Linked DNA regions of Canis lupus familiaris. The protein of the gene in region 2 purifies or fractionates together with the protein of the main gene of each other region. This does not show direct contact. Links are inferred from orthologs where the notes say so. Each region holds a gene or a part of one and is shown on either strand. Other genes may lie near its edges. The genes, in order: MPHOSPH6 and ZFC3H1.

Evidence for each region.
Region 1: the proteins of ZFC3H1 (region 2) and MPHOSPH6 purify together in Homo sapiens (affinity purification with mass spectrometry; 3 studies listed by BioGRID and IntAct, with this or other methods). This does not show direct contact. The link is inferred for Canis lupus familiaris from reciprocal best matches to the Homo sapiens genes ZFC3H1 and MPHOSPH6.

Annotation. Positions count from the first base shown.
Region 1 is NC_049226.1:70,407,975-70,411,347, forward strand, and holds the end of MPHOSPH6 (M-phase phosphoprotein 6), read left to right. Parts: intron 1-1,580; coding exon 1,581-1,675; intron 1,676-2,089; coding exon 2,090-2,225; 3' UTR 2,226-2,792; downstream 2,793-3,373. UniProt on the Homo sapiens protein: RNA-binding protein that associates with the RNA exosome complex. Involved in the 3'-processing of the 7S pre-RNA to the mature 5.8S rRNA and play a role in recruiting the RNA exosome complex to pre-rRNA; this function may include C1D.
Region 2 is NC_049231.1:13,582,738-13,587,341, forward strand, and holds the start of ZFC3H1 (zinc finger C3H1 domain-containing protein), read right to left. Parts: upstream 2,883-4,604; coding exon 2,270-2,882; intron 1-2,269. Other genes in the region: THAP2 (THAP domain-containing protein 2), read left to right, coding at 3,611-3,681. UniProt on the Homo sapiens protein: Subunit of the trimeric poly(A) tail exosome targeting (PAXT) complex, a complex that directs a subset of long and polyadenylated poly(A) RNAs for exosomal degradation. The RNA exosome is fundamental for the degradation of RNA in eukaryotic nuclei.

The DNA.
Region 1 (3,373 bases), on a different chromosome or scaffold from region 2:
GGTGTATATACCCAGTTATGAAAAGATACCAACTTGAGAGCACTTATTTCGTTATAAGTAGGATGTACTTTGAACACATTTTAGCCTTTTTTTTTTTTAAGATTTATTTGAAAGAGTGCGGGGAAGCAGAGGGAGAGAGAAAGAATCTCAGGCAGGCTCCCCACTGAGCTGGGAGCTAAACACAGGGCTCAATCCCATGACCCTGAGATCATGACCTGAGCCAAAATCAAGAGTCAGATACTTAACTGACTGAGCTACCCAGGCGCCCTGAGAACACATTTTTAATATTGTATGTCTCTTTAGTGACACCTACTATGGAGTTTATTTAGTCAGTAAATATTTATTCTGTACCTGAGGTTCATCAGATCCTCTTGAGGCACTGGAAACGCACAGGAAACTGAATTCTGTGCCCTCACAGAGCTTATATTCCCAGAATTTTCTCTTTAGTCCTTTAAATGTTGGAAAAGCTAATTGAAACTAGTTTCTCTTCTGCTATCCCTTCCTCATCCTGCCTTTGCTAAAAAGAAGGTATTGTACAATAAAAATAAATTTTTTGAAAGATTTTATTTATTTATTTATTTATTTATTTATTTATTTATTTATTCATCCATTCATTCATTCATTAGAGACAGAGAGAGAGAGATGGAGACCAGGCAGAGGGAGAAACAGGCTCCCACAGGGAACCTGATGCAGGACTCAATCCCAGGAACTGCAGGATCATGCCCTGAGCCGAAGGCAGATGCTCAACTGCTGAGCCACCTAGGCATCCCCAAAATAATTTTTTAGTCGGGGTAATGATCAAGAAATGTTAATGTGAGAAAAAGAAATGGAGGTGAGACTATATGGCACATGGACATCATGTAGAATGCTTTATCCACCCTTGTATTCTGGGGTGAAGCCAGTCCTCCCCATGATGTTAGAGCCAGCCTCCCAGTCCTTCCATCCAGTAATTTACCACCACCACCAAAAACTGCATTTAGTATCACTTTTGAGTGTAATATTCTTATATTTAGCTCAAAGATGGGAAGTTGGAGGAAGTCTGAAAGTTTGCTTTTTCTTTGCCCCACTCACTAGAGTATGTTAGCAGTGTGCCTGCTTTAGATGTAAGTAACTAATAAGATTTACAATCTAAAATAAAATTTAAAGGAGTGCCTGGGTGGCTCAGTCAGTTGGGCATCTGCCTTTGGCTCAGGTCATGATCTCAGGGTCCTGGGATTGAGTCCCACATTGGGCTCCCTCCTTGGCAGGGAGTCTCCTCCCTCTGCCTCTGGCCCTCCCTGCCACTTGTGTTCTCTCTCTCACTCATTTTTTCTCTCTCAAATAAAATCTTTTAAAAAATAAATAAAATACAATTTAAATTCATTAATAGGAAGTCTAATCTAATGGTGCTTTGTCATTTTTTCCATTCACGGCTGATTTTTGTTGTCACATTGTGGAGCAAAGTATTACAGAGCATCCCTTCAGAGATTTGGACTACTTACATAGATTGTGACTTCTTCTTTCTCTACCTTCAAATACATTTGGTATCAGTTTCTTTAATAAGCCTGTTCCAACCCTGAAAGCACTGCTGTATTTTTCAGAAATTAATGCTTCAGATGAATGCTAAAAACAAAGTGGAAGAAGTTGAAAGTGAAGCAGTGGAGCTTGATGTGTCAGATGAAGAAATGGCCAGAAGGTAATAGTCACTTCAGAGCCTAGTTCTAACCTGGGCCCAGCATTCACTGGCTCTCACGTGGGTGCTCCACTTCCCAACTGTTCTGTCAGGTGCCCCAGCAGGAAGAGGACTTCCTGCTTTCTCTAAAGTGGGCTGGGGCAGGTTCATACCTGTCACAGGCCAGCAGTTGAGGGCTCTTGTCCAGTGCTGCTTCTAAGACATATTTTAAAATATATCTCTCAAGTTCATACAGGATAGTACCAAAACAAAAGTGAAGATTTTAATTCTGCATAGAAAAGTTCATAAATTTTAAATCAGACAGCTTTTTTTAATCATTTCGATTTTTCTTGTTGTATACTTGGTTTAATATTCTTGACAAGACTTGACTCCTACTTGTTTGTTTAATTAAATTTGTGCCGCATATCATCTTAACAGATATGAGACCTTGGTGGGGACAATTGGAAAAAAGTTTGCCAAGAAGAGAGACCGTGCTAATTATGAAGAAGATGAAAATGGACACATAAAACCAACAGTTAAAGTAAAGAAGATGTTTTTAAAGCCCCAGGATTAAAGTAGATGCTTTAAGACAGAGCTCAGGGAAGCCTCGTAAGAGTTAACATATTGTGGAACTCATTCTGATGGCCTCTGTGTAGCTATTAATACTATGATGTTTATTTGTAAAGAAATGGATAATTTTGGAAATGTGCCATTTTTGAAACAGATGTGTGGTGGATGTTATACATCCTTTGCTTAATGGTGTTCATCAGGAATGGATTTTTAGCCCTCGATCTTCAAATATACAGAGGTATGTGGTTGCTTCCTAAAGACTTTTTTGACCTCAGATTTTTTTTTTAATAGGGCTTTCCAGTCACTGACCTTGAATTGACACACATAAATTAAATCACTGTTAAGTTATCCTTATGTTTATATTTTACTTTAAGTTATTAATCATGCCAAGCCAATTTATACATACATTTTGGAATCAAATGTCATGAGGACCTATTATATGTGTAAATTCATGAAGAATAAATATGCCTCTCTAGCCAGAAGTACTTGCATGCTACCAAGTCATTGTTAGTTTGTGGAATTACGAGTTTTTGCTTAAAGCTTTTATTAATAAAAATTGTTCTGTAATAAATAAGTTTCATATACTTTTTTTCTCTTATGCTTTCAAATAATAGTTTTATTCTAATTCAGTATTGGAACTTTTATCCAAATGCTAACTTTAAGAAACCAATCATTAATTGAGAATATGGTAATGTGCTAGGATGAACCATAAGAGATTGGCTTTTATGGGTTAAAAACAATTATTAGTTTCTTATTTTAATCATTATGAAAGTCATTAACTCATAACTGTGCCCTGTTCTGTTTGGTCAAAGAAATCATTTGCACACAGAAGTCACCACTTTCCAAACTAGCAGCTCACTTGTATAACCTAGAGTTGTATTTTCCTTTCCATATTTTGCTGCTTTTCCATGGGTCCCTGTGTTTTTACTGGCCCCAGGAAAGAAAATGCACTGGGTTTTAGGATACTCCTTGTAAAGTAGTAGTCCCCAGATTGGCTGGTACAAAGCTGCACTGTTTTCCCTGAGATGTATTTAATCTGAATGGTGTCTCCTGCTAATATCTCTTCCATCAGCATTGTATGTATGGGAGAAATCTCTGCCAGCCAATGAGTAGCAGGAGTGACCTTGTATTGTTCCAAAATTTCAGCAGGAT
Region 2 (4,604 bases):
CACATGTAGGGCAGCCCAGGTGGCGCAGCAGTTTGGTGCCACCTGCGGCCTGGGGTGTGATCCTGGAGACCTGGGATCAAGTCCCGCATCGGGCTCCCTACATGGAGCCTGCTTCTCCCTCTGCCTGTGTCTCTGCCTCTCTCTCTATGTCTCTCATGAATAAATAAAAATAAAAAATAAAAAATAAAAAAAAACACACATGTATGTGCTTTAACAGCCTGTTTTTAGATTCAGAATCAACAACTAACAAAAACTTCCTTAAAAAGTTATCTTGGGGGCAGCCTGGGTGGCTCAGTGGTTTAGCGCCGCCTTCGGCCCAGGGCATGATCCTGGGGACCCGGGATGGAGTCCTATGGTGGGCTCCCTGCATGGGGCCTGCTTCTCTGCCTGTCTCTGCCTTTCTCCTTGTGTCTCTCATGAATAAATATATAAAATCTTTAAAAAAAAAAAAGTTATCTTGGGCACAGTTTTTCTTTCCTTTTTTTTGAAAGAACATCTTCTATCTTTTTTAAAAGTCAAATCCTTCTATGATTTTCTTTGAAACAATCCTAGGTGCTCCTCGCCTAACTTGTGGTTGCAGAATCAAGTGTTTTCAGGGCCTTAGCCCCAGAAGCTGCTGTGTACCTAGATTCTTATTTCTTGCCCCTTTACATGCTGACATCTGGGAAAGACCATTTGATCTTGAGAATTCTACAAAAACACCCTTGAGGGTCTTCCAAACAAACGTCATCACGTGTAAGTTTCATATAGAATGCGTTAAAAAAAAAAAAAATCATTGTACCGTAGCAACTACAACCGGTGATCACTGCAGGTGGCAAATCATCTTTATGCAGTCATCACGAAGACCTAGTTCTACAAACCCATCATAAGCTAGCAAACCTTCAGGTGGCTGACGCCCCAATATAAACCTTCAGTAAGCTCAAGAATCTTAAAGATAATGGGATCTGAGGGAACAACAAATCAGGTATTTTGCTATTTTCCACCTCCCCATAATCTCCACCGTCTCACACGCACACCGCATGGCGTTCAATACGCTAAAATCAGAACACTGTCTTTCTCTCTCTAACCTACATGGGTCAGCGCTGGGTCATAGAAGGTCCCAAAACTTTCGTGTATGTGCTGCCGGGGCGGGCACAAAAGCACAGAATGCCCCACAACGAAACATAGGAAGAGGAGTCGTCGTTTTAACAGAGAGTCGCTTGAATGCACCACCTGTGACTTGGACTTGCACGCAACCCCCCCCCCCCGCCCCCACTTAAAAAAAAAAAAAAAAAAAAGGCCGCGTGTGTAAGAACAGGCCGAGAAGAACCTTAAAGGGCGGAACCGTGCAGGATGGAACCTCACAATTTTCCACGTCAAGGTTCGATACGGTGCAAGCAACCGGATCAGGCCCTAAACTGTGCATCCCTTTTTATTTATTTATTTATTTATTTATTTTAATTCCCTCCTCCTCCCTGTAGCACTCGTAAGTCAACCTGGCACGCAGACAAAAGTTCCCGCCGCAGCGAGGGAGGGCGCATCAACCTGAGCTCAGGGCACCAGGGCTGCGGACCGACTAGGAGGAAATCTCGTTTCAGACTTCCCGGGGATCACTTTCGCCGGTTTGGCCCCCGAAGCGTGATACGTTAGCTTGCTTAATTAATTAATTAAAATAAAATAAAATAAAATAAAATAAAATAAAATAAAATAAAATAAAATAAAATAAAATAAAATAAAAGCAAATCCAGAGACACAATCCACTGCGCCGCGCGGCGACCCACCGAGGAGCCACCTGCTTGCTGGGAAGCGCAGGGATGGACAGAGGGACGGACAGAGGGATGGACCCAGGGACAAATGCAGGGACGGAGCCAGGAAGGGTCCCAGGGACGCACCCAGGGACGCACGCAGGGACGGACGCAGGGAGGACCCGGGTAAGGACCCAGGGCAGGACGCAGGGACGGACCCAGTGAGGGACGGAGGGACGGACCCAGGGATGGACGGAGGAACAGACAGAGGGATGGACCCAAGGACAAATGCAGAGACGGACGGAGGGATGGACCCGGGGAGGGGCCCAGGGACGGACGGACGGACGCAAGGAGGGACCCAGGGAGGGACGGAGGGACAGACGGGGGAATGGACCCAGGGACGGATGCAGGGAGGGGCCCAGGGGCGCACTCAGGGACGGACGGAGGAACGGACGGAGGGACGGACGCAGGGAGGGACCCAGGGAGGGACCCAAGGAGGGAGGGACGCAGGGCCACCGGGGCGCGGACGGGCAGGTGAAGGATACAGCTCTTCCGAGGCGGCGAGGGCTCCCGCCAGCTCTGGCCGCCGCCGAACCCCGAGCCCGCCGCTCCGGCCGCGGCGGGCCGGCCGCCGGGCTTGCCTCCCCGCTCGCCGCCGCCGCGGCCCCGGCTCCAGCGGCTGCCGCCGCGGTACGGCCTGCCCCGGAAGCGGAGCCGGTCCAGCGCGATGTGGCTGCGCTCCCAGAAGGACGGCCGCGGGCTGCCCTCCGACAGCGGCCCGGGCGGCAGGCGGGCGGGCGGCGGGTGCGAGCGGAACGGCTCCTTGGGCCGGTAGCCGGCGTGTCCCCGGAGGTGGCCCCGCTCCGCCGCGTGGCGCGGGCGGCAGAGGCTCCGCAGCTGCTGCTGGGACGACGACGACGACGAGCCGCCGCCGGACGCGCCGCCGCGGGCCGCAGGGGGAGGCCTCCGCCGCGCGTAGGGCAGCAGCCCCCCGGCCCCGCCGCCGCCCCCGCCGCCCCCGCCGCCGCTGCTGCTGCTGCTCCGGCTCCGCGCGTCGCTGTGGTTGTCGTCGTCGCTGATCTCCCCGTCCTCCAGCTCGCCCTCCTCCTTGGGCGACAGGCCGCTGGGCGCCGGCGCCGGAACCTCGGCGGCCGCCATCCGCGCCGCCGCCCCGCCCGACAGCGCCCTCCGCCGCCTCGGCTCCCCGCCTCGAACGCCGGCCTCCCGCGGCGGCTGCTCGCTCCGCCGACGCGCTCCGCTCCCCGCCTGCCCCGCACCCCGGCGCCTCTCGCCGGGCCGCCGCGGCCCGCGTCCCCTCGCCCAGCGCCCCCCGGCTCTTCCGCCTCGCGAGAAAGGGGGCTCTGCCCGGGGCTCGGCCCGCGACGTCACTTCCGGCGGCGCGCAGGAAGCCGGCCGCGCAGCTCCCGCGTCGTCTCGCGGGACGCCGCGGTGGTCGCCGGGATGTGTAGTCCCGCCTTGCGGGGCGAGCCTCCGGGGCAGGGAGAGGGGGGTTCGGGTTTTCGGGTTTTCGGGTTTGTGCTTCCCGCGCAGCGCTCGCGCCCCGCCCGGGCTCGCCGCTGACGTGGACGGCCCGGGAGGCTCCTGAGTGATGCGGGGAGCGTTGTAATGGCCGCGAGCGCCTCGACCGAGGGGGCGCAGTGATCCCGCTCCGTTTTAGGGGGGCCCCTTAAGGGGGAGGCTAACGAAGGCGAGCGCGGCTCCGGGGCCGTCTGCTGCGCGGGCTCCAGGCCGCCGTGCTACTAGAGACCCCGGGGAGGCTGACCCCCCCCGCCCGCACCTGCAGCTGCACCTGCACCCGCACCCGCACCCGCACCCGCACCCGCACCTCCGCCAGCGCCGCAGGACCGGATGACGGCGACGGGGACATGCCGACCAACTGCGCCGCGGCGGGCTGCGCCACTACCTACGACAAGCACATTAACATCAGCTTCCACAGGTAAGCGCGGCGCGGGTTAGGGACGCGGGCCCTCAGGTGCAGGGTCGCCGCTGCGGGCGCAGCCGGGGCCCAGCTGCCGACCCCACCGCCGGGCTCGTGCCCAGGAAGCAGCACTTCTGTCCTTTGCGCTGCCCTTCCCCGCCTCTGTCCCCCCCACCCTTCCCCTTTTTCTTTTTTTCTTCTTCTTCCTTTTTTTTTTTTTTGGTCCTTTTTCTCCCCGCCCTCCGGGAAAGATTAACTCACTTTGAAAGGGAAATCCGAGTCCCGCCCGGTGCTTACTCCCTGGGGGAAAAGTAAAAGGAGCATCCCGTGATTTCGTGCTCCGCGATGCATGGGCCTGGGTCTGCACGGGAATGGTGCCTTCCAAGCAAGCGAAACCTCCTGCTGCCGTCCAGATCGGGAAGCCAGGGGCGCCCCCTCCACCCCCGGGGCAGCACCTGCGTGACCCCGGGTCGCGCGGTCGAGTCCCCATCGGGCTCCCTGCAGGGAGCCTGCTGCTCCTCGGCCTGGGTCTCTGCCCCTCTCTCTGTGTCTCTCAGGAATAAATAAAATTAAAAACAAACAAAAACAAAAAAAACGGGAAGCGATCACTAGCCAGGTTGGCGTGGGAAGCATTTAGGTGCCTACCAGCCCCGCGCAGGTGGGTGAGCGCAGAACTGAGCTGTCAGTGCGGAGCCCGGCTTTCCTCCTCACTACGGTGCTGACCTTAGGTGTGGCTCCTCCATGGCTGCAGGAGCAATCCAGTCTTTCCTTCTGTCTAACCGGAGCCCTTGAGAACATTTTGAAGGCTGTGTGAAATACAGTAAGTACTCCATAAATGCTTACTTTCTCGGCAAGTGCCTGCAGAAAAGCAGCCTTGAAAAAAAAAAAGTTCTGTGCCAATAGTTCCGATTTATTATTTTTTTAAGATTTTATTTATTCAT